7 linked regions of the Macaca mulatta genome follow. The protein of the gene in region 4 interacts with the protein of the main gene of each other region in a biochemical or structural test. Links are inferred from orthologs where the notes say so. Each region holds a gene or a part of one and is shown on either strand. Other genes may lie near its edges. The genes, in order: SIRPA, TXNIP, SRC, PTPN11, EGFR, CDC73 and INSR.

Region 1 (3,933 bases), on a different chromosome or scaffold from region 4:
TCTCCCCTACTAGAATATAAATTCCTCATGGACAGGGACCTCGTGCTCTCCCACACCCAAAGAAATGAAAATTCCCTTGCACTTCAAATGCTGCCCAAAACCCTGTGGGTTCTCAAGGACTGCTGTCAAACACTTCACTTATTTATCAAATGCTTATGCTGCACTTGGTATATGCTAGGCTCTTTTTAACACGTCTTACAAATATTAACTCATCTAATCCTCACAATTGAGACTCACGCTGGCCTCACTTCAGATGAAGAAGCTGAGGCACAGAAGAGGTAAGGTACTTTCCAGTCTACCCAGCTCATAACAGTAACCAGGGGATTTGAACCCAGGGAGTTCAGCCCATGTTCTCAAGTGTGGCACCCTCCCTGCCCCCCTGCACAACAGCAGGACCAGGCATTTAACCAGGAGGCTTGGGGCAGGAGGGGAGGTGGTGGTGCTACTTTGCATAGGTCTTTAACCTGGGAATCAGGAATTCAAATCTTGTTGCTACCCCAAGCTTTGCTGTGTGGCCTTAAGCAAACCTATTCCCTCTCTGGGCCTCAACGTTCTGTCCATTTACAGGGCTGGGCCCTCTCTCACCTTGTGTTATTCCTACCCTCTTAACTGCCACTGCGTGAAGCAAAATTCTCTCCCATTAGCAGCGGGTCTTGAACTCGTGTTCCTCCCACAATGCGGAGCCTACTTCTGCCAGGTGACCAGGACACTGACACTCCCCATCACTGACCTGGCTGCTACAGGAACGGCGTTCCCTCCAGGAAAACCGAGATTCTGTCCTCTCCAACTCCAAGCCTCTGGCTCCGGCTCCCACCCCTCATCTTCTTCCGGGCCTGTCCTTCTCCTGGAACCCATGCCTTCAGGGCCCCGCTCTCCCACACACGCCCCCTCCTGGGCCTCCCCACCCCCTCAATCTGCCCTCCACCACCGAGACACCTGGCCAGGGGGCTCCCACCTCCCTGGGAAGGCCCCGGCCCTTCCCCTCTGGTTCCCCGCCACAGCCCCCTTCTCGCTCCCTCTCCTCCCCGCTCCTCTTTTCCAGGCGGCACCGAAGTCCTTCCTACACACACGCTATTTTTGTACCATCACTCTCTTCTTCCTCTCCCCTTCCCCCTGCGTTCACTTACTTCCTTCTTTTCCTTCACCTCGGCCCGGCTCTGAAAGGATCGGGCCCCTCCGGCCCGCACCCATCCCCAAGAGGGGCCTTCAGCTTTGGGGCTCAGAGGCACGACCTCTTGGGGAGGGTTAAAGGCAGACACCCCCCGACCCCCGCGCCTCCACTCCCCGACTCCTTCGCCGCCTCCAGCCTCTCGCCAGTGGGAAGCGGGGAGTAGACGCGCGGCCAGAATCCGGAGGCGAGGGGAGGTCGGCCGCAACTTCCCCAGTCCACCTTAAGAGGACGATGTAGCCAGCTCGCGGCGCTGACCTTAGAAAAACAAGTTTGCGCAAAGTGGAGCGGGGACCCGGCCTCTGGGTAGCCCCGGCGGCGCTTCTAGTGCCTTCCAGCCCTAGCGGGCGGCGCAGGTCCGAGCCTGGCAGGGACGGGGAGGGGCAGAGCGGGACGGGTCGGGGCTGGGGACGAACCGCGCGGGCTTCTGAACTGGTACATCGTCGGAGCCGGAGGCTCGTCTAGTCCCGAGCCCGAGCGGGCTGCGGCGGCTCGCGGGGCCGCCTTCACGGGCAGCAGCCGGGGGCCCGCGCGGGGGTGCCGGGGCTCGGGCGCCGGCGCGGGGGGCGACGCTGCCCTCCCCGGCCGGGCGCGCTGCTCGCAGCCCTCGCTCCCTCCCCCGGGGCGCGCTGCTGGCTGGCGCGCAGGCGGGCGCTCGCTCGCCGAGAAGGTGCCGGCGGGGCCGGAGCCCCGAAGCCTCCCCGGGCGGCGGGAAGACGGGAGGAGGGGGGAAGGGAAGGAGGGAGGGGGCCGGGCTGCCGGGAGGGCGGGGGCAGCGGCCGGGACTGCGGGCCGGGAGCGAGCTCAGCCGCCCGCGCCGTGTGGAGCCCGGGCGGGGCAGGTGGGCAGCGGCGGGGGCGGCTCCGCGCGGCCGGGCTCGGCCGTGCTGCCCCTCGCCCCTGCTCGCGCGGTCCTCTCTCCCGCGCTGTCTGTCTCGGTCTGCGCGCCGCCTCGCTCACTCCTCGCTCGCTCGCTCTCCCCCTCTTTCTCCCCCTCTCGCCTCTCTGTGTCTCTGGCTCTCTGCCTGGCTCCCTTGGGTCTGTTTCTCTCTCCTGCCGCCTCTCTCTGGCCGCCCCTGGCTTTATTTCTCGCGCGCTTGGGGTCTCTCCCCGTCTCCGTCTCTCGATTTCTCCTGGGGGGCGGGGAGGGGGGTCTCCAAAAACCGCGGCGGCGACGGCGGCTCCTGAGCCGCTCCAGGCGCCCGTTCCGGAGTCGGGGGGAGGCCCAGCCGGGAGGGGGGAAGGGGGGGAGTCTTAGTCATTTCCCCGCTCCAGCCTGCTCCCGCCCGAGCGCGCACTCACGGCCGCTCTCCCTCCTCGCTCCGCAGCCGCGGCCCATGGAGCCCGCCGGCCCGGCCCCCGGCCGCCTCGGGCCGCTGCTCTGCCTGCTGCTCACCGCGTCCTGCGCCTGGTCAGGTAAGCACCCCCCGCTCCCCACCGCTGCCCTCCCCAAACTGCGGGCTCAGGCCTCTCAGACTAGCACTGGGACCCATTCGGCTAATGCTGAGCAGTAATAGGGAGAGAGACGCCTGTAACCAGCGTTATAGATGCGGAAACTGAGGCCCAGAGAGGGCCAGCGACATGTCCAAGGTCACACAGCCAAGGGTAGAATCCAAGTCTCTTCTCTGAGAGTTTGTCTCTGTGGACTCTGACTGTGTGCACTGTGCTGGGCACTGAGACAAAAGAGCTGAGTTGCTTCACTCAGCCCCTGCCCAGTCCAATGGGGAAGGCTGACTGACAGTGGCTTTCAGAGTAGGGCGGTCCTCCTTCCCCAGAATCTCTCCCCATGGACATACGGCTTTCCACGTTTGACTTCAGGGTGTGAGGGGAGGAGGTGAGGGCAGAGGTTCCCCCAATGCTGCCTGGAATGGAACAGAGACAAGCTGTTGCAATTAGGGAAGAGTGAGCCCTCCCTCTGGTGCGCCAAGTAAACCAGTGTTAGTGTGTGCCTGGGAGAGAGGGAACCGGGAGGCCACGGTAACCCCACAGCGAGCTGCTGCAAGCAACAGATCCTTATGTAAAAACACGGTGAATTGTCCCTGTGGTTGCCAAAGCCTCTCCCTGGTGGTCTTGCTCCTCGAGGCGCTCCCAGCTCCCACTTCCTCCTGCCTTCCCCGAGCTTCCAGGCAGCTCCCTGCAGTTCAGGTGCTCCGCGGGGATGTTACCTGTGGCTCTGAGCATGTCTTTCTGTTGGCCTACATCAAACACCTGGCTGTCGCCGGCAGGCGGGCTCTGAAGGCTACTGTGTATGTTCACCAAAGGGTGAGGTCACCATTCAGGAGTCCTTCTTCTTAAATGGGTTTTGCAAAACCATGGGTCTCCTGGGAGGGCACTGGCTTGGGGGCGGGGGGAGCAGAGAAATGGCGTTAAGGGAGTTGGGAGGGAGAGAATGGGGATCCTGTTTTTTGTTCTCTTGAAGCTGTGTTGTAGGCAGAGGGGTCTCTCTGTACCTCCCACCCTTGAGGAGGGAAGTAAAGATGAGCTCAGTGTCCAACACCCCCTTTTGCATTTGCCTAGAGATGGTAACCATCTGATAGCAGGGAGAAAGGGAGAACTAGCAAAGAGTGGGTGGAAGAAGAAGTGGGGGGTGGACAGCTGCTTCTCCCTGCCCTGCAGTTTCCCCTGAAACCCAGGAATTCACATAGGTATCACCCCACCCCACTCCCCCCCAACCCCACCCCCAGTTGTTTTCAGTTATAGTTGGGTCCTTGCTGGGTGGAAGGGAGCACTGATACAGTTCACGTCTCTCCAGTGAGTGGCATCTCC
Region 2 (4,100 bases), on a different chromosome or scaffold from region 4:
ACCAACAAAGGGAGGGTAAGGGTCTCTTCTGGCTTGAATTTATAGTGCTCTAGTGACCGATCTTTCTTCTCTTTTCCTTCTTACTGTTTTCTAAACCGTTTAGGGAAAAACCTTTGAAAATATTTTTAAAAATTGTTCCTTCAAACAGGTGTATGGCCATCTCTCCACTGGAAATTTGGATATAAACAAGAGGACTTTCTTGCTTTTAACCAGATTTATGGATGTATATTTGATTTAGTGAGTTGGGAGAGGGGAGGGAGACAAGAAAGAGTGAACATAACTCTGGAAGAAAGTGAAAAAAGTGAAGCATCCTTGTTCCCCGCCCCCCCACTTCCTTTTCCTCCAGAAGCAGGTAGGGAGTGCGAGATTATCAGCGCCTGGACACACCTCACTAAAGAGGTAATGAGGTAAATGGGAAACACAGACAAAGTGTTCCCCAACTTTGCAGGCAGAAATTGAAGAGATAACAGGATAAGCAACAGGATGTAAACACGCCTGTCCTATTTCCGTGCCAGAGAACAGAGAGAACAGAAGAGAGGGTACAAGGGGCGGGGGGTGACGAACAGCACACGCACGCAGCCCCCAGCCCTAGCCCCAAGGGATTGGAACGGGAAGTAGAAGACATCAGTCCTACAGCCGCAATGAGGCCTGAAAGTTCTCCTTTCCCTCAGAGATGGTGGTGTTTTTTTACATTTAATAGGGATGCGGGGCAAGAGAAGGACAAAGGGGCTGTTCCTTAACAGTAACACCAAGCATTCTGTGCTCCACGGCCCCAAACCTAAAAGTATTCTTGGAGCTATGGGATTTTCACACACTTGCTATTTACGAGCCACGAATAAACGACAGACTATAAAGTAATTGCACTGGCTAAGACTAGGCATGAAATTCCCTCATAAGCACATTTTCTTTTTACCTCAAACCACCGCTCTCAGACCAGAAACGTCCACACCCGCCCTCCGATGGCCTGTCGCCCTGGCTAGGTTTTAGGGTCAGTGGTATCCTCCTTCCACTAGGCCCGGGTGAAGACTCAACAGCCCCCTCCTTCCCCGCATTCCTCTCCTTCCCCCCTCCCTGCGCCGCTCCCGAGCACAACAACCATTTTCCCCGCCAGGAGCACACCGTGTCCACGCGCCTCAGCGATCTCACTGATTGGTCGGGCTCCTGGTAAACAAGGACCGGGCAGCCAATGGGAGGGATGTGCACGAGGGCAGCACGAGCCTCCGACCCAGCGCTCGCGTGGCTCTTCTGGCCGGGGCTTCTATATAGAGCCGTTTCCGCCTGCTGCTTGAAACTAACCTCTCTTTCTCTGTCAAGAAGTGCTTGCGGAGATCGGATCTCTTCTCCAGCAATCGGGGAAAAGAAGACTTTTTCTCTGAAATCGCTTAGTGTAACCAGCGGCGTAAATTTTTTGGACGCCTTTTCGAAAACCTAGTTAAAATTCATTTGTTTAAATCTCATTTTATTTTTAAGCTCAAACTGCTTAAGAATATCTTCATTCCTTAGGAAGAGTGAAATAATTTACTGCAAAGGAATTTCCTCGATTTGGTGCATTTTTTTTTTTATTCTTCCACGGTCTTTTCTAACTCTCAAACCAACTCCGTCCCATCATGGTGATGTTCAAGAAGATCAAGTCTTTTGAGGTGGTCTTTAACGACCCTGAAAAGGTGTACGGCAGTGGTGAGAAGGTGGCTGGCCGGGTGATAGTGGAGGTGTGTGAAGTTACTCGTGTCAAAGCCGTTAGGATCCTTGCTTGCGGAGTGGCTAAAGTGCTCTGGATGCAGGGATCCCAGCAGTGCAAACAGACTTCGGAGTACCTGCGCTATGAAGACACGCTTCTTCCGGAAGACCAGCCAACAGGTAAGCGGCCCAATTCATTGTTGGAGGGTGAAAGCTGATTAGAGAAGAGAATTGAAAGGAATACACAAAACTATACGAAATGTTTTAAGTTGCTCAGTTTGAGTGGTGTGAATTGCACGTTGTTACTTCCTTTTTTCTAATTTGCAGACATTCTCCCCCCCACACCCCCCAAAAAAAAGGGTGGTTTGTACAATTTTTTATGGTGCTGTGTCCTAAAGGTGGTTCTGAGGGGCATTGCCTCGGATAGTTAAAAATCTTATGTGTGCATTAGTTGCTTATTCTTTGCCTACTTCCTGTTTGAGATGTTAGTGAAGAACTGTCCTGGGTGAATCTTTAAAAGCATTGCAGGGCAACCTGGGAACTTGCTGCCCAACAAAATACATCAGAATTTCTCTTTAAGAACAACATGGGATGATTAAAATACCTCTCTGTGGGACGAAATTAGGGGTACTTCAATACCTTGCATGCCACCCAAACATTCCTTATCACACAGATGCATTTTAAGTGTAACAGGAAGCCTAATGGCTACTCGATTTTCTTTCCCTTCAGGTGAGAATGAGATGGTGATCATGAGACCTGGAAACAAATATGAGTACAAGTTCGGCTTTGAGCTTCCCCAGGGGTAAATATCAGCTAAATGCATCTTTGAACTTTTCTGTCTAAAATATCTTGCCCTCCTTTGATCACTTACTGTTCCTTGGAGAGCATTTAAAAATTTTCATTTTCTTGACACAGGCCTCTGGGAACATCCTTCAAAGGAAAATATGGGTGTGTAGACTACTGGGTGAAGGCTTTTCTTGACCGCCCCAGCCAGCCAACTCAGGAGACAAAGAAAAACTTTGAAGTAGTGGATCTGGTGGATGTCAATACTCCTGATTTAATGGTGAGATTCATTTTAAAGATTATATTCTCCTGGGTCACAGGGATGATAAATCAGATGTCTTGGGCATTAGATTAAAGCATCTCAAAACACTTTTTTGTCCCCTTCTACATAGGCACCTGTGTCTGCTAAAAAGGAAAAGAAAGTTTCCTGCATGTTCATTCCTGATGGGCGGGTGTCTGTCTCTGCTCGAATTGACAGAAAAGGATTCTGTGAAGGTAAAATCCTAGTGCTTATGGCAGACAGATATAACAGGAACTAGGTTTAGGGGCAAGGGCATGGGACTGGGGTAGAGGAAATGTCATTAACTATACTGAGTATCAGTAAGTTTTCATTTTTCTCTTTGCTAGGTGATGAGATTTCCATCCATGCTGACTTTGAGAATACGTGTTCCCGAATTGTGGTCCCCAAAGCTGCCATTGTGGCCCGCCACACTTATCTTGCCAATGGCCAGACCAAGGTGCTGACTCAGAAGTTGTCATCAGTCAGAGGCAATCATATTATCTCAGGGACATGCGCATCATGGCGTGGAAAGAGCCTTCGGGTTCAGAAGATCAGGCCTTCTATCCTGGGCTGCAACATTCTTCGAGTTGAATATTCTTTACTGGTGAGTAGATGCAGGGTGGGTTCAGCAGAGAAATTGTTCATCTGTTACCATAACTGTCTTGTTTCACCAGAGCGCTCTGGTCTAACAAACTACCATCTTCCTTTTCTAGATCTATGTTAGTGTTCCTGGGTCCAAGAAGGTCATCCTTGACCTGCCCCTGGTAATTGGCAGCAGATCAGGTCTAAGCAGCAGAACATCCAGCATGGCCAGCCGAACCAGCTCTGAGATGAGTTGGGTAGATCTGAATATCCCTGATACCCCAGAAGGTGAGCCAGACCTAATGTCTTTTCTTCATTTCTGGTCTACCTGGGTTTGTAAAATTGTGATGGTCCAGCATTTCTTGGGCAGGCTTCTTACGTGGCCATATTTTCTTTTCTAGCTCCTCCCTGCTATATGGATATCATTCCCGAAGATCACCGATTGGAGAGCCCCACCACTCCTCTGCTAGATGACATGGATGGCGCTCAAGACAGCCCTATCTTTATGTATGCCCCTGAGTTCAAGTTCATGCCACCACCTACTTATACTGAGGTGAGAATTGTCATATTTACTGTTAAATTTGTCCTAAGCTTTCTATAAGAAGTTGACTTAGAGGGATTGCTAAACTGGTTTGTTCTTTTAGTTCTTACCTGAACTGAAATAGTCTGTTTCTTCCTTTAGGTGGATCCGTGCATCCTCAACAACAACGTGCAGTGAACATGTGGAAGAAAAGAAGCAGCTTTACCTACTTCTTTCTTTTTGTCTCTCTTCCTGGAC
Region 3 (4,242 bases), on a different chromosome or scaffold from region 4:
AGGAGAAAATATTTGTAAATCATATACTTGTATCTACAATATATAAATATCTCTTACAGTGGCTCATGCATGTAATCCCAGTGCTTTGGAAGCCAAGACAGGAGGATCTCTTGAGGCCAGGAGCTTGAGACCAGCCTCGGAAACATAGTGAGACCCCTACTAAAAATTAAAAAAAAAAATTAGCCGGGCGTGGTGTTGCATGCCTGTGGTCCTATCTACTCAGGAGGCTGAGATGGGAGGATTGCTTGAGCCCAGGAATTTGAGGTTACAGTCAGCTATGATCACACCATTGCACTCCAGCCTGAGTGGCAGAGTAAGATCCTATCTCTACAAAATTAAAAAAAAATTAAGCCAGGCATGGTGGCACACGCTTATAGTCCTAGCTACTTGGAAGGCTGAGGCAGGGGGATCACTTGAGGCCAGGACTTCTAGACTAGCCTGGGCAACATAGTGAGACCTTGTTGCTAAGACAAAAAAAAAATAGATTACATTAATAATAAAAGTAGGCAAAGAACTTGAATAGACATTCCTCCAAAGAAGATATACAAGTGGCCAATAAGCACATGAAAAGATGCTTAATGTCACTAGTAATTAGGGAAATAAAAATCAAAACGGCTGAGTACAGTGGCACATGCCTGTAAACCCAGCACTTTGGGAGGCCGAGGTGCGAGGATCATTTGAGCCCAGGAGTTCAAGACTAGCCTGGGCAACACGGTGAGACCCTATCTCTACAAACTAAAAAAAAAAAAAAAAGGGCCTGAGCCAGGTGTGGTGGCACACACTTTTGGTCCCAGCTGCTCAGGAGGCTGAGATGAGAGGATTGTTAGAGCCCAAGAGTTTGAGGCTGCAGTGAGCCTCGGCAACAGACTGAGACCCTGTCCAAAAAAAAAAAAAATCAGAACCACCATGAGATGCCACTTCACAGACACTAGGACGGATGACTAGAATCTAAAAGACAAATGTTGGCAAGGATGTGGAGAAACTGGAACCCTCAGACATTGCTGATGGGAATGTAAAATGGTGCAGCTGCTTTGCAAAACAATCTGGCAGTTCCTCAGAAAGTTAAACATGGAATTACCATATGATCTAGCAATTCTACTCGTAGGTACACACTCAAGAGAAATGAAAAACATATGTCTACACAAAAACTTGCACATGAATGTCCAGAACAGTATTACCCGTAATAGCCAGAAAGCCCAAATGTCCATCAACTGATGAATGGATAAATAAAATATGGTATATCCATATGATAGAATATTATTTGGCAAGAAAAAAAGAATGAAATATTGATCCATGCTACAACATGAGTGAATCTTGAAAACATTATGCTAAGTGAAAGAAGTCAGCCGCAAAAGAGTACACTTGAATGATTTCATTTCTATTAAATGCCCAGAATAGGCAAATCTATAGAAACAGAAACTAGATTAGTTGCCGCCTAGGTCTAGGGGAGGGAAGTTTAGGGGGAAGTGGGGAGTAACTGTAATGGGTAAAGTTTCTTTGTAGGGTAATGAAAATGTTCTAAATTTGACTGTGGTGACGATTGTACAACTCTGTGACTCTACTAAAAACCACCGAATTGTATACTTTAAATAGATAAATTGTATGCTATGTGAATTTTATCTCAGTAAAGCTGTGATACACATTTTTCAAATAAACTACACTGGGGGCCACTGTTCACCTATCAGCTCGGCAAATTGCACTTATGCAATTTATCCCCAAATTTGGTAACATCCTATGCTGGTGAGAGTGAGGAGAACAGAGGGTGTGGGGACACCAGCGCAATCTCTCTGAAGGACAATTTGGCAATACCTATCACAATTACACACCCACTGACCCTGCAGTGTGGAATTAATCCTAAAAGAACACACAAACACAAGGCATATGATTGAGGATATTCATTTGTGGAATTGCCTAGAACAAGCAAAAGACTGGAAACAACCAAAATATCTGTCCTTAGTTAAGTACAGTGTGACCACCGTACATGCAGTGGAATACTACGCAACCATGAACAAGAAAAATGCAGCACAAATAAATGACCTCTGAGGTACACTGTCAAGAGAAAAAAGTCAGTTGAGGACAGGGTAGACTGTGTGCTATCATTTATCTAAAAAAGAGAAAAAAATTTCCGGCTGGGGGTGATGGCTCACACCTATAATCCCAGTACTTTGGGAGGCTAAGACAGGAGGACTGCTTGAGCCCAGACATTCAAGACCAGCCTAGGCAACATAGTGAGACTCTGCTTCTACAAAAAAATAAATAATTAGCTGGGTGTGGTGCATTTCCCTGCAGTCCCAGCTCCTTGGGACGCTGAGGTGGGAGGATCGTTTGAGCCCAGGAGTTCGAGGCCTCAGTAAGCATGATTGTGACACTGCACTACAGCCTGGGCAACAGAGTAAGACCCTAAGAAAAAAACAAAATTCTTTGCAAATGTGTAATATTGAGTCAAGTGCGGAAGCTAAAAATATCAACACCTGGCATTCCCATCATTATTGAAATTCACATTATGCTAAAAAAATTGTTAATATACATGCTTATATATGCCTGGATCTCCCTGGAAGGATACACCAGAAATTTTTTCAAGTGGTTGACTCTGGCAAGGAGACCTGGGTGTGAGAGAGACTTACTTTTCCCTGTCGTGTGTGTGTGTATGTGTGTGTGTGTGTGTGTGTGTGTGTGTGTGTGATGTTTTTTCTTTCCTTTTTAAAGAAAAAACACAAACTTACCTGGTTTCAAATCCTGGCTCTGTCTCTCATAGCTGGCCAAGTTGCTTCACTTCTCTGAGCCTCTGTTCTCTGTTCTGTAAAGGGAGGGATAATAGGATTAATATCCACCTTGCAAGGCTGGTGTGGAAGATGAAATAAGACAGCACAAGCTCAGGGCCCCCCCCCCGCTGCCTGGCTCCTAGTAAGTGCACAGTCCCTGTTTGCCATTCATCTGTAACTATGGACACTGCAGTGCACTGTAACAGGGACCACCAGAGAGCCTCAGAGCAAGTGTTCCAAGGACCAGCATCCCCTCTGGCTGGGAGAAACTGGGAAAGGCTTCCTGGGGGAGGCAGCATTTGCGAAGGGCTTCGAGGACAAGAAGGATTTCCACAAGTAGAGATGAATGGGGGCCACATTCTTGGCAAAGGGGGCCACACAAGCAAAAGGCCAGGAGTGGGAAAGCCCTGGACAGTCACTCAATGGTGCACTGCCAGGCTCCTCCAACAAGGCTTAGCTGAGCACCTACTGATGCCATAGTGGGAAAGACAGTCAAAAGCCATGTAGCTGGGCTGGCCGAGGGAGGAACTACAGAAAGTATCGTGACAGGGATAACGAGGGGCCAGGTCCACAGGCTCATAGAGCAGGCCGGGAAATGGAGGCTCAGAAAGGGAGAGGGGCCATCCAAGATCACACAGCAGGTTCCCAATTTCTGAACATAGCCTCTCTCAGCTTCACCCTCTCCTTGTCCTCTAGACCTGGAGAAGAGAAAGTCCAGAGGGGTCCTCCGGCCATGCCCTCATCAGGGGGTGGACACAGAGGCCAAATAAACCAGGGGCCCCACAAGGAGGAGGGATGGTTGATCCTCAGAGGATAACAACAGCTACAGCGTCACCATCACGGTGTTGCTGGGTGGCGCGCACCATGCTTAGGAACTCAGTGAACCACCCCAGCCCTCTGTGGCGGGCCCTGATTTGCAGATGAGGAAACTGAAGCACAGAGAGGTGGAGCTGCTTGCCTGATGTCACACAGCTCATAAGACACAGCACTGGGAGGCAAACCCAGACTATCTGGGTTCCACCGTCTCGTACCCCAGAGCCCATTCCTTAAAGGAGGCCCCAGCAGGGCATCCTATCAGTGATCACATCCGCTCAGAAGGGCCCAGGGTGGAAGCTGTTCTCAGCCAGTCCTGGAATGCCTCCTGATAACAGTGCCCCAGTGGCGGGGGAAAGGTGGGAGGCGGGCCAGGGAAGAGCAGCAGTGGGTGTAGTGTCAGGCCTGTGCGGGGATGAAGGGGGAAGGCGGCGGGCAGGGACTTGGCCCTTTGGCAGCCATCCTCTCTCTGACGGGAGAGCAGAAGGGCTTGTCAGGCACCTGCCCAAGCCAGGTGGGGGCATCATGGTTAAGGGGACCCTGCTGCCACCACAGGAGGACTCTGGGCACATGGACTGAAGTTTCCTTCAGTACCATGGAGATGCCCATAGTCACCCTCAGGTAGTTGCAAAGGCTAACAGGTGAATCCACGCCAAGACCTGGGCAC
Region 4 (3,500 bases):
CAGGTGTCTGACACCACGCCTGGCTAATTTTTGTATTTTGATAGAGACAAGGTTTTGTCATGTTGGCCAGACTGGTCTCGAATGCTTGACCTCAAGTGACCCACCTGCCTTGTCCTCCCAAAGTGCTGGGATTGTAAGTGTGAGCCACCACACCTGGCCCATTCTGTTCTCTTCTACCATAAATATATTTCTTCCCCAACACTATATTTGTTTGCCTCACAAGCTTCCAGCTGCTTTCTACCAACGCCTTTGAAGGAAGCTGTGCTGTGACCTTTGTAATGAGTCTGTGGGCTGCTGATTCTCCAGTCTGGGCTTCATGATTATACTGGGGAACATTGGGTCTCCTAAATCTCATTCATTTCTTGGGCAGGTAGATATATGTGAAACTTTTTTATTTGTCCAGTTGTTAAAGAAGCTACCATTTATTGAGCCAGCCTCTGAGCACAATGTTTTTTGTTTTTAATTTTTAAAATTATTTATTTCTTCTATTTCAGTAACTTTATTATTATTATTTTTTGAGACAGAGTCTCACTCTGTCACCCAGGCTGGAGTGCAGTGGTGCGATCTCAGCTCACTGCAACCTCTGCTTTCTAGGTTCAAGCAATTCTCATGTCTCAGCCTCCTGAGTAGCTGGGATTACAGGTGCATGACAACATGCCTGGCTAATTTTTGTGTTTTTAGTAGAGACGAGGTATTGCTATGTTGACCAGGCTGGTCTGGAACTCCTGGTCTTAAGTGATCATCTTGCTTCGGCCTCCCAAAGTGCTGGGATTATAGGCGAGAACCACTGTGCCTGGCCCTCTTTCAGTAATTTTGATGTATTTTTTTGTATACGATTCCTGTTTCATTCTGTCCAACCAGCACTCTGTATGGTATGTGCTGTTGTCCCCATTTCACAGATGCGGAAACTGAGGGTCAGAGAGGTTAAGGGACTTAACTCAGGCACGTTGTACTGGAGAAGCTGAACTCCAAGAGCAGGTTTGGGCTGACTTCAAAGCCCTGTGCTTTTTGCCAACATATTTTCAAACATAAAGAGACAATTTTATAAATAGCTCCCAAGAGTAGACATTGTTTCTGTTAATACTAATGGCTTGGTTTTGAGTCTGAAACCCCCATGAATGATTCTGTTGTCCCTGCTTTTTGTCCTTCTGCCCGCAGTGCTGGAATTGGCCGGACAGGGACATTCATTGTGATTGATATTCTTATTGACATCATCAGAGAGAAAGGTGGGTCATCTGGCGGGCAAGAAGTGACAGTTTCTGTTTTTAGTTTATGGAAGGAAAGTGCTCGTGAAAACAGCCTAGGGAAGAGAGGTTGAATGGGAAAAATTTTTCACAAAAATCTGGGCTGAAGACTTCAGTGTGTCTGCTTGAGAACAGAAGTGACACTATTTGAGCTTTTGGCATAAAATGAAGTCTAGGAGCTGCTGAACCCACTGCCGTGGCCTTTTGTTGCATACACAGTGGTGGTCTCTATCCAGCCACCTGAACCTTGTTTACAGTATGGGGTGATTTGTTGGAAAGTGAGGGAATCCTGACCTCTGCCACTTTATTATTTATGTAGTCTTCTGGGATCTTTGGTATTGGTCAGAAGTTCAACACTGTAGCCATTGCAACATGCTCAATTAAAACAACAAAGACTAAATCAGCATTGTCTGTGAGTCCACTAAAAGTTGTGTGTAAACAACTTCATCCTGGTTCTGCAGTTTCTCTTTATTCTTCTTGATGTTTCCTTCGTAGGTGTTGACTGCGACATTGACGTTCCCAAAACCATCCAGATGGTGCGGTCTCAGAGGTCAGGGATGGTCCAGACAGAAGCACAGTACCGATTTATCTATATGGCGGTCCAGCATTATATTGAAACACTACAGCGCAGGATTGAAGAAGAGCAGGTACCAGCCTGAGGGCTGGCATGCAGATTCGCATTCTCTTTCTAGGCCTCTTGGATACGCTCTCCTTTTGAGCAGGAGGAGAGGCTCTGATAGACAACTGTTTGATTTGGGAATGGGAAACAAACTCCCAACTAAAAGGGCTTCTGGAAACTGTTAATTATTCTCTACTTCTCAGCTCTGATTTTTCACTGCAGAGGAGCTTAGGGAAGGGCACCATCCTATCAGCCTGGCCTGCCAGATTGAAGAACTGCCATGCAGAAAGGTCTGATGTTCCCAGGCTCACGTGGCAAGCATAAAACTCAAAGCCTTGAAGTTTCTAGCCTGTTCCAGCCTTGATCCAGGCCATGTTTATCCTGATTCCATCCTTTAAAACGAATGCCTCACTCTTAATAGCGCACAGCAGTTTGAACCACTAATTTGGTCGAGTTGGAAACAGTGAAATTTCAATTTTAATAAGCTGTGCATAATGAAGAGGAATGTGGAATTGGAGCCTTTCCATCTGAAGCTATTCATAACAGGCACAAAGCTGAGTTAATTAGGAATATGCTGAGATGAAGGAAATGAGGAGAACTGCTCTTTTGGGGGCTGTGCTTCTCTCCCCCACCCCTCAACCCCATTGCCATGCTGCAGATGGGGTAGTGTCTAAACATCAGTGACGATTGCCTGCATTACTCTGCTCATTGCCTTCCAGAGAACTCAGCTTCTCCAAATGCTGAGCTCTTTTCAGAATGGGACCTGCCACCAATATTTGAAAGATTTCTAGACTAGCAGAATAGCAGCCACTTTATCAAAGTTTGGTGGGCCAAAGTAAGGTAACTGCTAATTAGTTTAGTAGGTTTTCAGTCCACACAGACATACGGAATTGTTTTATTATACATAGACATCTTCAGAAACTGTATGTATAGAAATTAAGGTCAAAATTTGAACTTCAGTGCTTTATTTTTTAAAAATTTTTATTTATTATTGTTATTATTTTTTGAGACGGAGTCTTGCTCTGTTGCCCAGGCTGGAGTGCAGTGGCACGATCTCGGCTCACTGCAAACTCTGCCTCCCAGGTTCACACCATTCTCCTGCCTCAGCCTCCCGAGTAGCTGGGACTACAGGCACCCACCACCGCACCCGGCTAATTTTTTGTATTTATAGTAGAGATGGGGTTTTACCGTATTAGCCAGGATGGTCTTGATCTCCTGACCTCGTGATCCACCCGCCTCGGCCTCCCAAAGTGCTGGGATTACAGGCGTGAGCTACTGCACCTGGCCAACTTCAGTGCTTTAAATCTGAATTTGTATTAAGTGATATGAAATATTTAGATGGTTACTATAAGTTATTTTATATATGTCTTCCATTATACTTAATTTGGCCCAAGAATAGTTAGGCAAAAAGTTGCCCAAAGAGAAGGATTTCCTAGTAAATACAAAGCAAATGTAGCATAGTTACTACAATTTGGAGCATGTTCAGGAATGTCTTTTTTTTTTTTTTAAATGAGAGAGGTCTCTCTCTGTTGACCAGGCTGGAGTGCAGTGGTGCAATCATGGCTCACTGCAGCCTCAGTCTCCCAGGGTTAAGCGATCCTCCCACCTCAGCCTCCCAAGTAGCTGGTACTACAGGC
Region 5 (4,231 bases), on a different chromosome or scaffold from region 4:
TTCCCCCATAGGAGGAGAGTGTACACCTCTTATGCTTAATGTGGGGATTAGGACGCATGAAACGGTGTCTGGCAGTCATTACGTCTAAGAGCAGCAAGTCCAGAAGTTAGCATGTCCCAGAACCAAACAAAACCCTTACTAAACAAAGTGCATCTTGAATAAAATCGACTGAATTTGATAGACACAGGTCTCAAACAAATTTCTGTTAAAAGAGCTCATCTCCTACTTTAATAATTTGCCCCTGAAAATTCAGTCTTTTATGTTACTGTAACAGAATAGCGCCTGTTCACCTACTCTCTCTGTCTTCAGGAGTTTCTGTTTTGAGTGAATACGGGATAAACAGGCAAATTAAGTGGTATTTATATTTTTCTCAGGAACAAATCTCCAATCACTAACAGTGGTGTTCAAGCAAGTAACATCAAAGAATGAGAACCCCACTGGAGGGAGAAAAGTGATGCTTTGGAGGTGCTCTGAGGGTTTAATTTAAAATAAAGAGAAGAGTCTCTTCAGCAGAGACAGGGCTGACACCTGACTAACAGGACCCGCAGTCAGCCCCCAAGCAGGCAGGAGGGGCCCTGCAAGCTCAGCAGAGAAGAAACCTTTCCACCAGTTCCTTCAATGAAAAGAGGAATCTTTTATTATTGGAACCACACCCCACCTTTTCCCTCTTTCCTATATTTGGCAACATTGTTAAAATTCCAGATGTCCTCAAAGAGCTCTTTGCATTGGCAAGTAATCTCTCCGGAGACTTTAACAATCCTTCTTCCGTCCGGTGATCCCCAAACCTGGCTCCCCAACAGATCACATGAAAAGCATTAAAAAAAAAATCCCATGTCCAGGTCTTGCCCCATGCCAATTAAATCAGAATGTCTGGGGGCGGGATTCAGACACTGGTTTTTGTTTTGATTTTTTTTTTTTTTAATCCCAGGTAATTCTAACGTGCAGCAAGGTCTGGGAACCACTGTTCTATGTCTTGCCCCTCCCCCAACGACCGCGCTGGGCACCAAACCCCAACTCCCCATGCCAGTGACATCAACAGCAAGTACGGGCCTGGCTCTTGGAACCCGCGCAGCTCAAGGTTGGAATTGTGCAATTAAACCTTCCGAGGCATGTTTCCCGTGTCAAGTGGGTTTATGGTCAGTAGTCACGAAGCCAGACTCGCTCATGTTCTGTCTGGACACTTGGCACACTTGAACCAGGGACATCAATCCGGTGTGTGTGTGTGTGTGTGTGTGTGTGTGTGTGTGTGTGTGTAAGACAGGTTTAATATTTTGGTTGGCTCAATGTCAAATTCTTCAGACAGCAAAAAGAAACATCCAAGAAAGAAACTCTCCGGGTTTTGAGGAGAAAACTTTGCTGTGAGCCCCATTTTGAAACACCGTGGTGCTGGCCAGGATGAGCTCTGCTTCCTGGGCTTCCGCACTAGAGGCCGCGATCCCCCCAGCAGTGGCCGGACAGCCGCGTCCCCCTCCACCGCGAAGCCCAGGCGCGACCGAAGGGCTGCAGGTGGGGCAGACCCGGACGTCCCCGCGAGGCGGCCACCGAACGAGAGCCCGGGCCTTTCTGCGCCGGCGCCCGGGAGGGAGCTCGGGTCCCCAGGAGGTGGGGGGCATACCTGGACCGGCAAGACGAGGGCGCGCCGGGTGAGGCGAGCGGCCGGGGTCTGCGCCCAAGGGGCGGGTCGGACCCCACCTGCCTTTTGCCAACGAGGAAGTTAACCGCCGCCAGCACCACCCCTTCCCAGGCGCCGCAGGTGGTGGCGGACTTCTCCCAGCTCCCAGGTTGAGGCTGCGACTCCACACCTGGGAACGAGGATCGCGGGGACCTGGAGAGGGGCCGGGGTCAGGCTGGCCGGCTCCGGCTTCAGTTTGAGACCTGCGCGGAGCGCGGAGGCAGGGAGGTTCGCTCAGGAAGCCGCCTGTCCCGCGGGGTCCGAAGGGAGGCTTTATTTTCGGGGTCCTTCCTCAGCTTCCCTAAACAGCGCAGCCTCGGCGGGTGGGCAGCGCCAGTCCCTCGGGTGCGCGCCGCGACCCCGCCGCGCCCTGGGAAGACAGCGCGGGGCGCACGTGCGGGACCCCGGCCCCAGGCACCCACCCGCACGGGGCTTTCGCCCACTGACGCCGATTCCGCGCAGCGGGGCGGGGAAAGTGAGGGTGGAAAGTTGGGAGCGGTTCGGGGCGCCGGAGGTCCAGGCGGCCGTTTCCCCGCCGGCCCGCAGCCCAGTGCCCCACGCGTCTCCTCCCCCGCCCGCCCCAGACTCTCCTGGCCCAAGAACGAAACGTCCCGTTCCTCCCGCGGTCCCGGCCGGCGGCGCAGCTGATCTCAAGGAAACAGGAAAGGACGGGCGGGGGCGCGGGCGCCGAGCCGGTGCGCCGGTGCGCGGCTGGGCTGGCTGCGGGGTCCGGGGCGCGATCCGGGGGCAGCGCGGGAGCCGGCGAGACACGCCCTTACCTTTCTTTTCCTCCAGAGCCCGACTCGCGGGGCAGAGCGCAGCCAGCAGCGCCAGGAGCGCGGCCCCGGCCGTCCCGGAGGGTCGCATAGCTGCTCCCCGAAGAGCAAGCTCCGGCTCTCCGGATCAATAGTGGACGGAGTCAGGCGGCCGTGCGCGGTGGTTGTGGCGTTAGCGGCGAGGCGGGGACTCGGGCGGACGCCGACGAGGTGGCCTGTCGTCCGGTCTGGGCGGCGGCGGCCGCCGGGGCTAGCTCGGGACTCCGGCCGCTTTGGCCGCGGCGGGCGCGCACACCGTGCCGGGGGCGGAGGCTGCTGCGGCCGCGCTGCGCCGGGGGCTGCCCGGACGTCTAGCTCGCGCGGGCCGGGGCGCGGGGAGGCAGGGCGGGAGGAGGAGGGACCAGGCGGCGGAGGAGGGATCGGGAGGAGCAGAGGAGGAGGAGAATGAGAGGAGGAGGGAGGAGAACCAGCCGCGGGGACCCAAGGCCAGCGGCCGCCGGAGGCGGTGGACAGCGGTGACCCCCGCGGGACCCGGTCTCCCGCGGGAAGGGGGTGGCGCGCGGGAGGGGAGCGGGTGCCCTGAGGAGTTAATTTCCGTGAGGGGCGTTCACAGCACTGCCCCTCTGGACTGGGTCCCCGCAGACTTGCAGGCCCAGCCTATGTCGAGGTCGAGCCAAATCTGTGCCAGGGTCCCCTTCCCCCTTTCCCTTCTTTTGTTTTACAGAACAAACTTCTACCAGCTTTAGACAGACTGGCCGAGCCCTAGAGCCAGCGTCGAATAATGGCACCGACGGGGAAACTGCTCCTTTATTCTGGTCCCCACCTCCCCTGCAGCACCCAGGGACCCTCGCGGGGATCAGAGGCTGGCCTGGCAGCTGAGGAGGTCGCTGTGCCCGCGCGGCAGGGGTGCCAGGCGTCCGAGGTGGTGCTCTAAAGTCCGAGGGTCCTTCAGATCCCGTGAAGCACCCTAGAAATCGTCTGAAATGAGAGCACCCAACTTTGGGCGCAGAGACAGGCCTCCTCAATGTTTACTGCAACCGGCCGTGGGTACTTTGAAGCCAATGTGTGAAGCACGTTACTTCGCAAAAGTGAGGCTCTTGGAATAAAGGCTTGACACAAACAGCTGTGGAGATGCTTTTAGAGAGGCTAAGTGTCCCACTGCACCGGTAGCTCCCGCAGGAGAAATGCCAGGGAAGTTCGCGAAAGTTTGGCCGAAAGAAACTGAGCTGCTTTAGGCTGCAGGAACTTGAGCTACATTCCTTTGGCAAGTCCACCCCATCCCCACTGTTGCTTCTCCTGCAGTAAGAATGTCCTCTAGGTCCATGTTACAGTCAGACCCCTCCTCTCTTCACGAGATTCACTAGGACCTTCAGGCCTGGTTCAACAACCCTGATCTCCCGGCTCTGTCAAAAATCATAATCCTGAAGTAAGTAGAGCTACAGATCTGCCCTTTGCTGTCTCTGAAGGGGAGCAACCTTGCATCTTTCCTCCGCATCCAGCGAAGTGTTTGTGCCTGGGTTTCACGCCCTGCAGCCTGAACGGTGGGTTTTTCACCACGGCAAGCGCAGACAGACACAAGGCTCCTCACCACCCGTACAACCTGGAACTTCCCTGTGAATTAGAAGAAGTAATTTGTTCCTTTGTTTTAGCGGATCAGTACAGCCACTGTGCGTTGAAGTCAGTCCCTGGATGCAGAGATGGTGAAGGCTCTGCAGGCACGTGTGTGCTTCCTGCACACCTGGGCTGAGAGCAGTCCCTATAGAAACACAGAGACAGAAAACAA
Region 6 (3,500 bases), on a different chromosome or scaffold from region 4:
TCTCCAACGTTGTAGTTTTCATCTCAAGTTTGTTTTGCTCTTTTTTTTTTGAGATGGAGTTTGGCTCTTGTGACCCAGGCTGGAGTGCAATGGCGTGATCTCGGCTCACTGCAACTTCCGCCTCCCGGGTTCAAGCGATTCTCCTGCCTCAGCCTCCCGAGTGGCTGGGATTACAGGCATATGCCACCACACCCGGCTAATTTTTGTATGTTTTGCTGTTTTTTAAAAAACATACCTACTTTATCTTTTTATTTAGCTTGTTGAAATATAGAACATAGTTCTTGTAATTATTTTCATGCCTTGAGATTAATTGATATTTCTCTTAATTCTGCTTTATTACATGTCTGCTTTATTACATTTTCCTGCTTTATTACATGTCATGTGATCTTTGATTGCACACCAAACATTGTGTATACTTTTTACCTTGTCGAGTGCTAGATATTGTTATATTTCCCCACATCGTCTTTAGCTTTTTTTGGGACACAGTTAAATCTCTTGGAAACAGTTTTGGTCTTGATTTTAACTTATCTGAACATTGGTCTGCTAGGGTAATTATTCCCCACCCACTGAGGCAAGACCATTCTGAGTACGTAATACCTCATGAACATGAGGTTTCATTCTGGCTAGTGGAACAGGCACTATTCTTCACCTTGTGTGGCCACTAGGCATTATTCTGTCTAATTATTCTGTCCAAGGCCATGTCTTGGAAACTTACAAGGCAATAAGCTGAGGCAGTCATAGGGCTTACCTTGTTTGTTTCTCATTTGTTAGGGAATTACTGTCCTTCATTGCTTGATATCTAGCATCTAGTAAACCATTGTTTTATGTATTTTGACTGGTTATTTAAAGGCTGGAGGGTTAGTCTAGTCTCTGGTACTTCATCTTGGCTGTAAGTAGAAGTTCTATGTTTCAAAGTCCATTGGAGGCTTGATTATAGTTTGGAGAAGTACAGTGGTCACCCAGCCACCTTCCGGGGATATGTTCCAAGACCTCCAGTGGGTGCCTGAAACCTCGGATAGTCCTGAACTCCAGCCAAGGAATCCCAAGGTCACCTTGTCATTTAAGGGAAGCACTTTGGGAGTGGCATATGCGAATTGCTAGCGTCACTACTCTTGTGTTTTGGGGCCATTATTAGGTAAAATAAGGGCTACTTGAACCTAAGTACTTTGATGCTGCCATTGTCAATCTGATAACCAAGATGGCTATTAAGCGACTACTGGGCAGGTAGTGTGTACAGTATCGATACATTGGACAAAAGGATCATTCATGTCTGGATATCCCAGGCAAGTGTCCCAGGCAGGACAGTACAAGATTTCAACAAGCTACTGAGCATGGCACATAATTTAAAACTTACGAATTATTTATTTCTGGAATTTTCCATTTAATATTTTGGACTGTGGTTGATAGCGGGTGACTGAAACTGGAAAGCCAAACAGTGGAGTACTGTATTTGAATTTGGCTTAAGGTATGCTGGTGTGCTTTAGATTTTAAGGGAAATCTGCACAGTATTACACAAAATGCATCAAATGCCAGGTGCATATGAGCACTACTATAAAGTACCTTCATACCTAATCTAAATAAAATTAGAATACTATATAATACTACTGTATTTAAACCTGCAGGGATTTTCATCCTTTTTCCAGATTTTGTGTAAACATAATTCAAGATTTTCATCTTGTGACTAAAGTAATATTTTTGTCTACTGTTATTAAGGTACCCAAACACTTTTTAATTCTTTTTCTCGTTTTACATGATAAAAGATACTTTGCTTAAGATTATCGTTTTATGACATGTATACTTTCAGTGTTAAGTCTTTTTTCATATTTCTGCAAACATAGTCTCTTTTTACTATTTTGCCTATTTGAAAATCAAGGAAAGGGAAGAAAAAGGAAACTGTATAAAATAAAATACGGTTTTATCTTCCAGAGATTAAAGGAGTATGTTTTTGTGACATAAAAGCCTGTCACTTAATTATGTTCTGCACTATGGCATACAAGTTTGAAACCTTGAAATAAATTTCAAGGAAAACCTAGGCTTTGAACTTTCTGTAGGATGGATTTTTTACCCCCTTCCAAAGTGGCCTCTGTGTGTGTGTGTAATTTCTATAGACAGAAAAAATACAAAGAAAAGCACCTATATTAATGAGTCCTGCTTTTTTGCGGTGAAGAGATGAAAAACCATCAAGAATTTTGTTGCACTGACACTTCTAAGAAATTACTAATTTGCTCTCAGTGTAGTATCTTGACATAAATTCTTTATAAAAATTTTATTGTAATTGCAGAATAGCAAGTCAGTCTTACAGATAAGAAAACCTTAATTATTGCCCTTAAAGTGTTTTTAACAGAAATTTATAAATGTAACAAAATATATTTATGATACACTCCGGGAATCCTTGCTGTGAAAATTTAAAAAAGAAATTGCTTTTAGGTCTTTATCTGAAGCTATGTCAGTGGAAAAAATTGCTGCAATCAAAGCCAAAATTATGGCTAAGAAAAGATCTACTATCAAGACTGATCTAGATGATGACATAACTGCCCTTAAACAGAGGAGTTTTGTGGATGCTGAGGTAGATGTGACCCGAGATATTGTCAGCAGAGAGAGAGTATGGAGGACACGAACAACCATCTTACAAAGCACAGGAAAGGTAATTTATTTTACTCATTCATTGGAGTGAGAGAGATCGAGAGAGAGAGAGTGTGTGTGTGTGTTTAATCTGTGGTTATAGAATTGGTTAAAGTTTGCTCTTAGGTGGAAGTTTCAAGTTTTATCTCTTTGAGAGCTCACTAATAATGTAGATTTCCAGATGGTGATTTTTACCATTCCATTCTTGAATATGGTTGTTATTCATCAGAGATGCTGATGAAAAAGTAGGAATCAAAATACAAGCTCCTTCACCTGAAACATGATTTGCAAATCAAAGAATGGTCTGGTTTTCCTGTTGAGTCATTTTTGCTTAAACCTAATAAACAAGGAATAATATTGATGACAAGTTCTCTGGTTATTAATGCCATCATTTTTTTCCCACATAGTAGAGAACTTATGGAAATCTGTAGCAAACATTTATTGAGTATATTTTATACACTATATTCTGTTGTGTGGGTATAGCAGTTTTTTCATTTGTTCCCTGTTAGTGGAAATTGTTTTCTTTTGTTTTTGCTCCAAAGAGGGTGCGATTTTTCTCCCTTTCTCTGGCCTTCCTTTCTTCTCTCTACCTCCCTCTGCCTTCCTCTCTTTCTCCTCCTGTTTCCCTCTCTTCCTCCTTCCCTTGCTTCCTTTTCACCGTTATGAATAATGCATCAGAAAACATTGTTGTACATATACCTTTGTGTATTTATGTGTATATAGACAAAGGATTAATTCTTGGAAACAAATTGCTGGTTAAAGGAGATATGCACTTTATATTTTGAAAGATAAAAATCTGAAATACTTGAATGTCCAGTATTTTCATGGATCTCCAAAAAGAGGATGCATTTACCCTGATTTATGTACTTACTTTCATT
Region 7 (3,500 bases), on a different chromosome or scaffold from region 4:
TGGTGTATAAATGATATAAGGTAAATAACCTCAACTGCATTGATCATAGTAAAATGGAGTATGAGAGTTAGAAAGTGATGAGTTTTGAACATGTATTGTCTTTGCTTTTAGGGTAATTTATTTAATTGCAAGCCTCTATAATTTACATTTTTTTGTTCTATTTGGAAGGCATTGTACAATTTAATCTTTTTTTTTTTTTTTTTTTTGAGACGGAGTCTCACGCTGTTGCCCAGGCTGGAGTGCAGTGGCGCGATCTCGGCTCACTGCAAGCTCCGCCTCCCGGGTTCCCGCCATTCTCCTGCCTCAGCCTCCTGAGTAGCTGGGACTACAGGCGCCCGCCACCGCGCCCGGCTAATTTTTTGTATTTTTAGTAGAGACGGGGTTTCACTGTGGTCTCGATCTCCTGACCTTGTGATCCGCCCACCTCGGCCTCCCAAAGTGCTGGGATTACAGGCTTGAGCCACCGCGCCCGGCCACAATTTAATCGTTAATGATGCTTGTATTTAATAACTGGCTCACTCGTTTCCTGAAAATTTAATAATTGTTTCTCATCAGTCGGGATGAGCTCGCTGTAGAACAGTACTGGGTGAGTGGCTTTTAAGTGTTACATAGACGGCCATAAATTATAATAAAAGCCAGCCAGAGCCCTGCATGGTCGTGCACATCTGTAATCCCAGCCACTCAGAAGGATGAGGCAGGAGGATCACTTGAGACCAAGAGTTCAAGACCAGCCTGGGCAACATAGTGAGACCCTGTCTCTACGAAATTTTAAAAATTAGCAGCCAGGTGTGGTGGTGAGCACCTGTATTCCCAGCTATTCAAAAAGCTGAGGTGAGAGGATCTCTGGAGCCCAGAAGGTCAAGACTGCAGTGAGCTATGATTAAACCACTGCCGTCCAGCCACAACACAGCAAGACTCCAACTCTGAAATGTGAAAAAAAAAAAAAAAAAAAAAACCTGGGGAGGGATCAGTGCTGCTGCCATGTTGATGCACTTAAGTACTTGTCTGATGGGCTTCCATTCAAAACATAAAGGTCCCCCATCCCTGCCCTAGACTGCATCTAGAATTATGGGGATTCTGCTGGTAAGGGCTGCCATTTGCCTTGAGGAGTCTTGTATGAAACCCCTTTCTGGAGACCTGCAGAGTCCCATGAGAACCTCAAGCTAATGTGCCTCATTTTTCTCCTCCAGGCAGCCAGATGGGCCGCTGGGACCGCTTTACGCTTCTTCAAACCCTGAGTATCTCAGTGCCAGTGATGGTGAGTACCATCCCTTCCCTGTGGGTGACCAGTACCCTATTCAACAGCTTCCTTTGCCTTCACCATTGAGTGAGAGTGAAGGATGGGTTCCCCAGGGAGGCCAAGAAAAGCCCTCTTAGTCATTTGAGCTTGCCAAACTGCCCTTGCTGCAGAAACCTCATTACTGTGTGCATGTGGACACATGGTATTTGGCACCTGCCTGGATGGGCTCATCTAGCCGGTCTGGGACCCTTGGATGGGGTCGACAACTTGGGCTGGGCTCAGCTGGGCGGTTCTTCTTCTGGTCTTGCCTGGCTTCACCCATGTAGCTACATTTTGCTGGTGTGTCAGCTAGCACTTTGTAGTCTTAGATGATTTCACTCACATGTCTGGTGGTCGGCAGGCTGGGTGGTCCCGACGTGGGGGCCCTAAGCTGGGGGAGGCTGAGCCTCACTCTGTCCATGTGGCCTCTTAGGCTCCAGCAGGCTGGCCTAGGCTTCATTACATGGTACTCTGTTGGTTCCTAGTAGCAAGAGAGGGCAAGCTCCAGGGCAATAGTCCATTCGGAGTTTCTGCTTGGGTCATTCCTGCTGATTCCCATTGACCAAAATAACTCACAAGGCCATGCCCAGAGCCAAGGGGTGGTGAGATAGACTCCACCTTTTCATGGAAAGAGCTGCCAAGTATCCTGGCTTTTTTTAACCCCCAACCTATTACAACCTGTCTACCATCCCCTTGGCACTTTGCAGAAATAGTAGTCTCAGGTGGGAAGTAGCACCATTCTGTGGCAAGGATCTGAAATCAGACAAGAAGGATGGGGATGCAGGTTTGCCTCAGGACATATTGACCAGGATCTTGAATCAGTTGTGGCTCCTTCCTTGAGTCTCTGCCATGCCCTCTCCATGGGTGCAGATGCCTGTCCTGTTCTCAGCCGTACGCCCAGTGCCTGGCATGGGTCCTGGATCACAGAACTCACTTCATGAGTGTTTTCGAGGAGGTTTGGGTGAGGGCTTGGGTGGAAGGTGGCTGCAGACCCCCAAGGGATCAGCCAAAGATGCTGTGTAGATAAGTGAGAAGTAGTGTTTCCATGCTCTGTGTACGTGCCGGACGAGTGGGAGGTGCCTCGAGAGAAGATCACCCTCCTTCGAGAGCTGGGGCAGGGCTCCTTCGGCATGGTGTATGAGGGCAACGCCAGGGACATCATCAAGGGTGAGGCAGAGACCCGCGTGGCAGTGAAGACGGTCAACGAGTCAGCCAGTCTCCGAGAGCGGATTGAGTTCCTCAATGAGGCCTCGGTCATGAAGGGCTTCACCTGCCATCATGTGGTGAGTCCAGCGGGGGTGGGACACGGGCTGGCTTTCCTGCCCCTTCCCTCTCTCTGCCTCCTCCTCCTGCACAGAGTGACAGAGGACACTGGGTGTAACCTCCTGCCCAACCCCCACTCTACTACCCATCCTAAAGGTGTGGGGAGGGATTGTTCCCTTCTCAAATCACATCCTCTCCCACTTTGCCTGGAACCAGACTCTATCACTGTCTTATCACTTTCTGGAATGCTTCATTGCTTTCCAGATTCTTTCATCACTTTCTAGAATCTTCCATCATTTTCTGGAATCTTCTACCACTTTCTGGACTCTTCCATCATTTTCCAGAATCTTCTGTTGCTTTTTAGACTCCTCCATTTCTTGCTTTTTCCTGGCTCCTTTGTAACCCAGGACCACACAGAGGTCCACCTCATACCACCTGCCATCATTCCTACTCTCCCTTGAAGGCAGCACGAACTCTTCCTGCCTTTCTGCTCCTTTGTTTCTCTTTGAGTCCCATGCACTTTCATCCTTGCCACACATATTTGTGGGGCATTTAAAACCCTGCTCTTGTCCCCGTGATACAGTGGATTCCTGCCCCTGTAGAGCTTCCAAAACAGCAGGCGGAGACAGACTCCAAAACCTTTATTTTTATTTTTATATATTTTTAAGACAGAGTCTCTGTCTGTCACCCAGGGTGGAGTACAGTGGCACAATCTTGGCTCACTCAACCTCTGCCTCCCGCGTTCAAGCAATTCTCCTGCCACGGCCTCCTGAGTAGCTGGGATAACAGGAGCCCACCACCACACCCGGCTAATTTTTGTATTTTTAGTAGAGATGGGATTTTGCCATGTTGGCCAGACTGGTCTCGAACTCCTGACTTCAGGTGATCCACCGGCCTCAGCCTCTCAAAGTGCTGGGATTACAGACATAAGCCACCGCCCCTGGCTGACTCCAAACCC

Evidence for each region.
Region 1: the proteins of PTPN11 (region 4) and SIRPA form a complex in vitro, tested with the Homo sapiens proteins (2 studies listed by BioGRID). The link is inferred for Macaca mulatta from reciprocal best matches to the Homo sapiens genes PTPN11 and SIRPA.
Region 2: the proteins of PTPN11 (region 4) and TXNIP are reported together in a solved structure, tested with the Homo sapiens proteins (2 studies listed by BioGRID, with this or other methods). The link is inferred for Macaca mulatta from reciprocal best matches to the Homo sapiens genes PTPN11 and TXNIP.
Region 3: of the proteins of PTPN11 (region 4) and SRC, one has a biochemical effect on the other in vitro, tested with the Homo sapiens proteins (2 studies listed by BioGRID and IntAct). The link is inferred for Macaca mulatta from reciprocal best matches to the Homo sapiens genes PTPN11 and SRC.
Region 5: of the proteins of PTPN11 (region 4) and EGFR, one has a biochemical effect on the other in vitro, tested with the Homo sapiens proteins (4 studies listed by BioGRID and IntAct, with this or other methods). The link is inferred for Macaca mulatta from reciprocal best matches to the Homo sapiens genes PTPN11 and EGFR.
Region 6: of the proteins of PTPN11 (region 4) and CDC73, one has a biochemical effect on the other in vitro, tested with the Homo sapiens proteins (2 studies listed by BioGRID and IntAct). The link is inferred for Macaca mulatta from reciprocal best matches to the Homo sapiens genes PTPN11 and CDC73.
Region 7: the proteins of PTPN11 (region 4) and INSR form a complex in vitro, tested with the Homo sapiens proteins (2 studies listed by BioGRID). The link is inferred for Macaca mulatta from reciprocal best matches to the Homo sapiens genes PTPN11 and INSR.

Annotation. Positions count from the first base shown.
Region 1 is NC_133415.1:82,190,265-82,194,197, reverse strand, and holds the start of SIRPA (tyrosine-protein phosphatase non-receptor type substrate 1), read left to right. Parts: upstream 1-1,133; 5' UTR 1,134-1,524; exon of another isoform or gene 1,525-2,105; intron 2,106-2,495; 5' UTR 2,496-2,504; coding exon 2,505-2,583; intron 2,584-3,933. UniProt on the Homo sapiens protein: Immunoglobulin-like cell surface receptor for CD47. Acts as docking protein and induces translocation of PTPN6, PTPN11 and other binding partners from the cytosol to the plasma membrane.
Region 2 is NC_133406.1:119,305,244-119,309,343, forward strand, and holds the start of TXNIP (thioredoxin-interacting protein), read left to right. Parts: upstream 1-1,300; 5' UTR 1,301-1,607; coding exon 1,608-1,857; intron 1,858-2,406; coding exon 2,407-2,479; intron 2,480-2,592; coding exon 2,593-2,740; intron 2,741-2,852; coding exon 2,853-2,955; intron 2,956-3,087; coding exon 3,088-3,344; intron 3,345-3,453; coding exon 3,454-3,610; intron 3,611-3,723; coding exon 3,724-3,875; intron 3,876-4,004; coding exon 4,005-4,040; 3' UTR 4,041-4,100. UniProt on the Homo sapiens protein: May act as an oxidative stress mediator by inhibiting thioredoxin activity or by limiting its bioavailability.
Region 3 is NC_133415.1:90,223,887-90,228,128, reverse strand, and holds the start of SRC (proto-oncogene tyrosine-protein kinase Src), read right to left. Parts: upstream 2,801-4,242; 5' UTR 2,724-2,800; intron 1-2,723. UniProt on the Homo sapiens protein: Non-receptor protein tyrosine kinase which is activated following engagement of many different classes of cellular receptors including immune response receptors, integrins and other adhesion receptors, receptor protein tyrosine kinases, G protein-coupled receptors as well as cytokine receptors.
Region 4 is NC_133416.1:119,735,069-119,738,568, forward strand, and holds part of PTPN11 (tyrosine-protein phosphatase non-receptor type 11), read left to right. Parts: intron 1-1,158; coding exon 1,159-1,226; intron 1,227-1,705; exon of another isoform or gene 1,706-1,739; coding exon 1,740-1,891; exon of another isoform or gene 1,892-2,822; intron 2,823-3,500. UniProt on the Homo sapiens protein: Acts downstream of various receptor and cytoplasmic protein tyrosine kinases to participate in the signal transduction from the cell surface to the nucleus. Positively regulates MAPK signal transduction pathway. Dephosphorylates GAB1, ARHGAP35 and EGFR.
Region 5 is NC_133408.1:73,468,115-73,472,345, forward strand, and holds the start of EGFR (epidermal growth factor receptor), read right to left. Parts: upstream 2,801-4,231; 5' UTR 2,540-2,800; coding exon 2,452-2,539; intron 2,313-2,451; exon of another isoform or gene 2,257-2,312; intron 1,901-2,256; exon of another isoform or gene 1,761-1,900; intron 1-1,760. UniProt on the Homo sapiens protein: Receptor tyrosine kinase binding ligands of the EGF family and activating several signaling cascades to convert extracellular cues into appropriate cellular responses.
Region 6 is NC_133406.1:50,674,708-50,678,207, forward strand, and holds part of CDC73 (parafibromin), read left to right. Parts: intron 1-2,427; coding exon 2,428-2,644; intron 2,645-3,500.
Region 7 is NC_133424.1:8,001,425-8,004,924, reverse strand, and holds part of INSR (insulin receptor), read left to right. Parts: intron 1-442; exon of another isoform or gene 443-1,190; coding exon 1,191-1,258; exon of another isoform or gene 1,259-2,317; coding exon 2,318-2,562; exon of another isoform or gene 2,563-3,061; intron 3,062-3,500. UniProt on the Homo sapiens protein: Receptor tyrosine kinase which mediates the pleiotropic actions of insulin.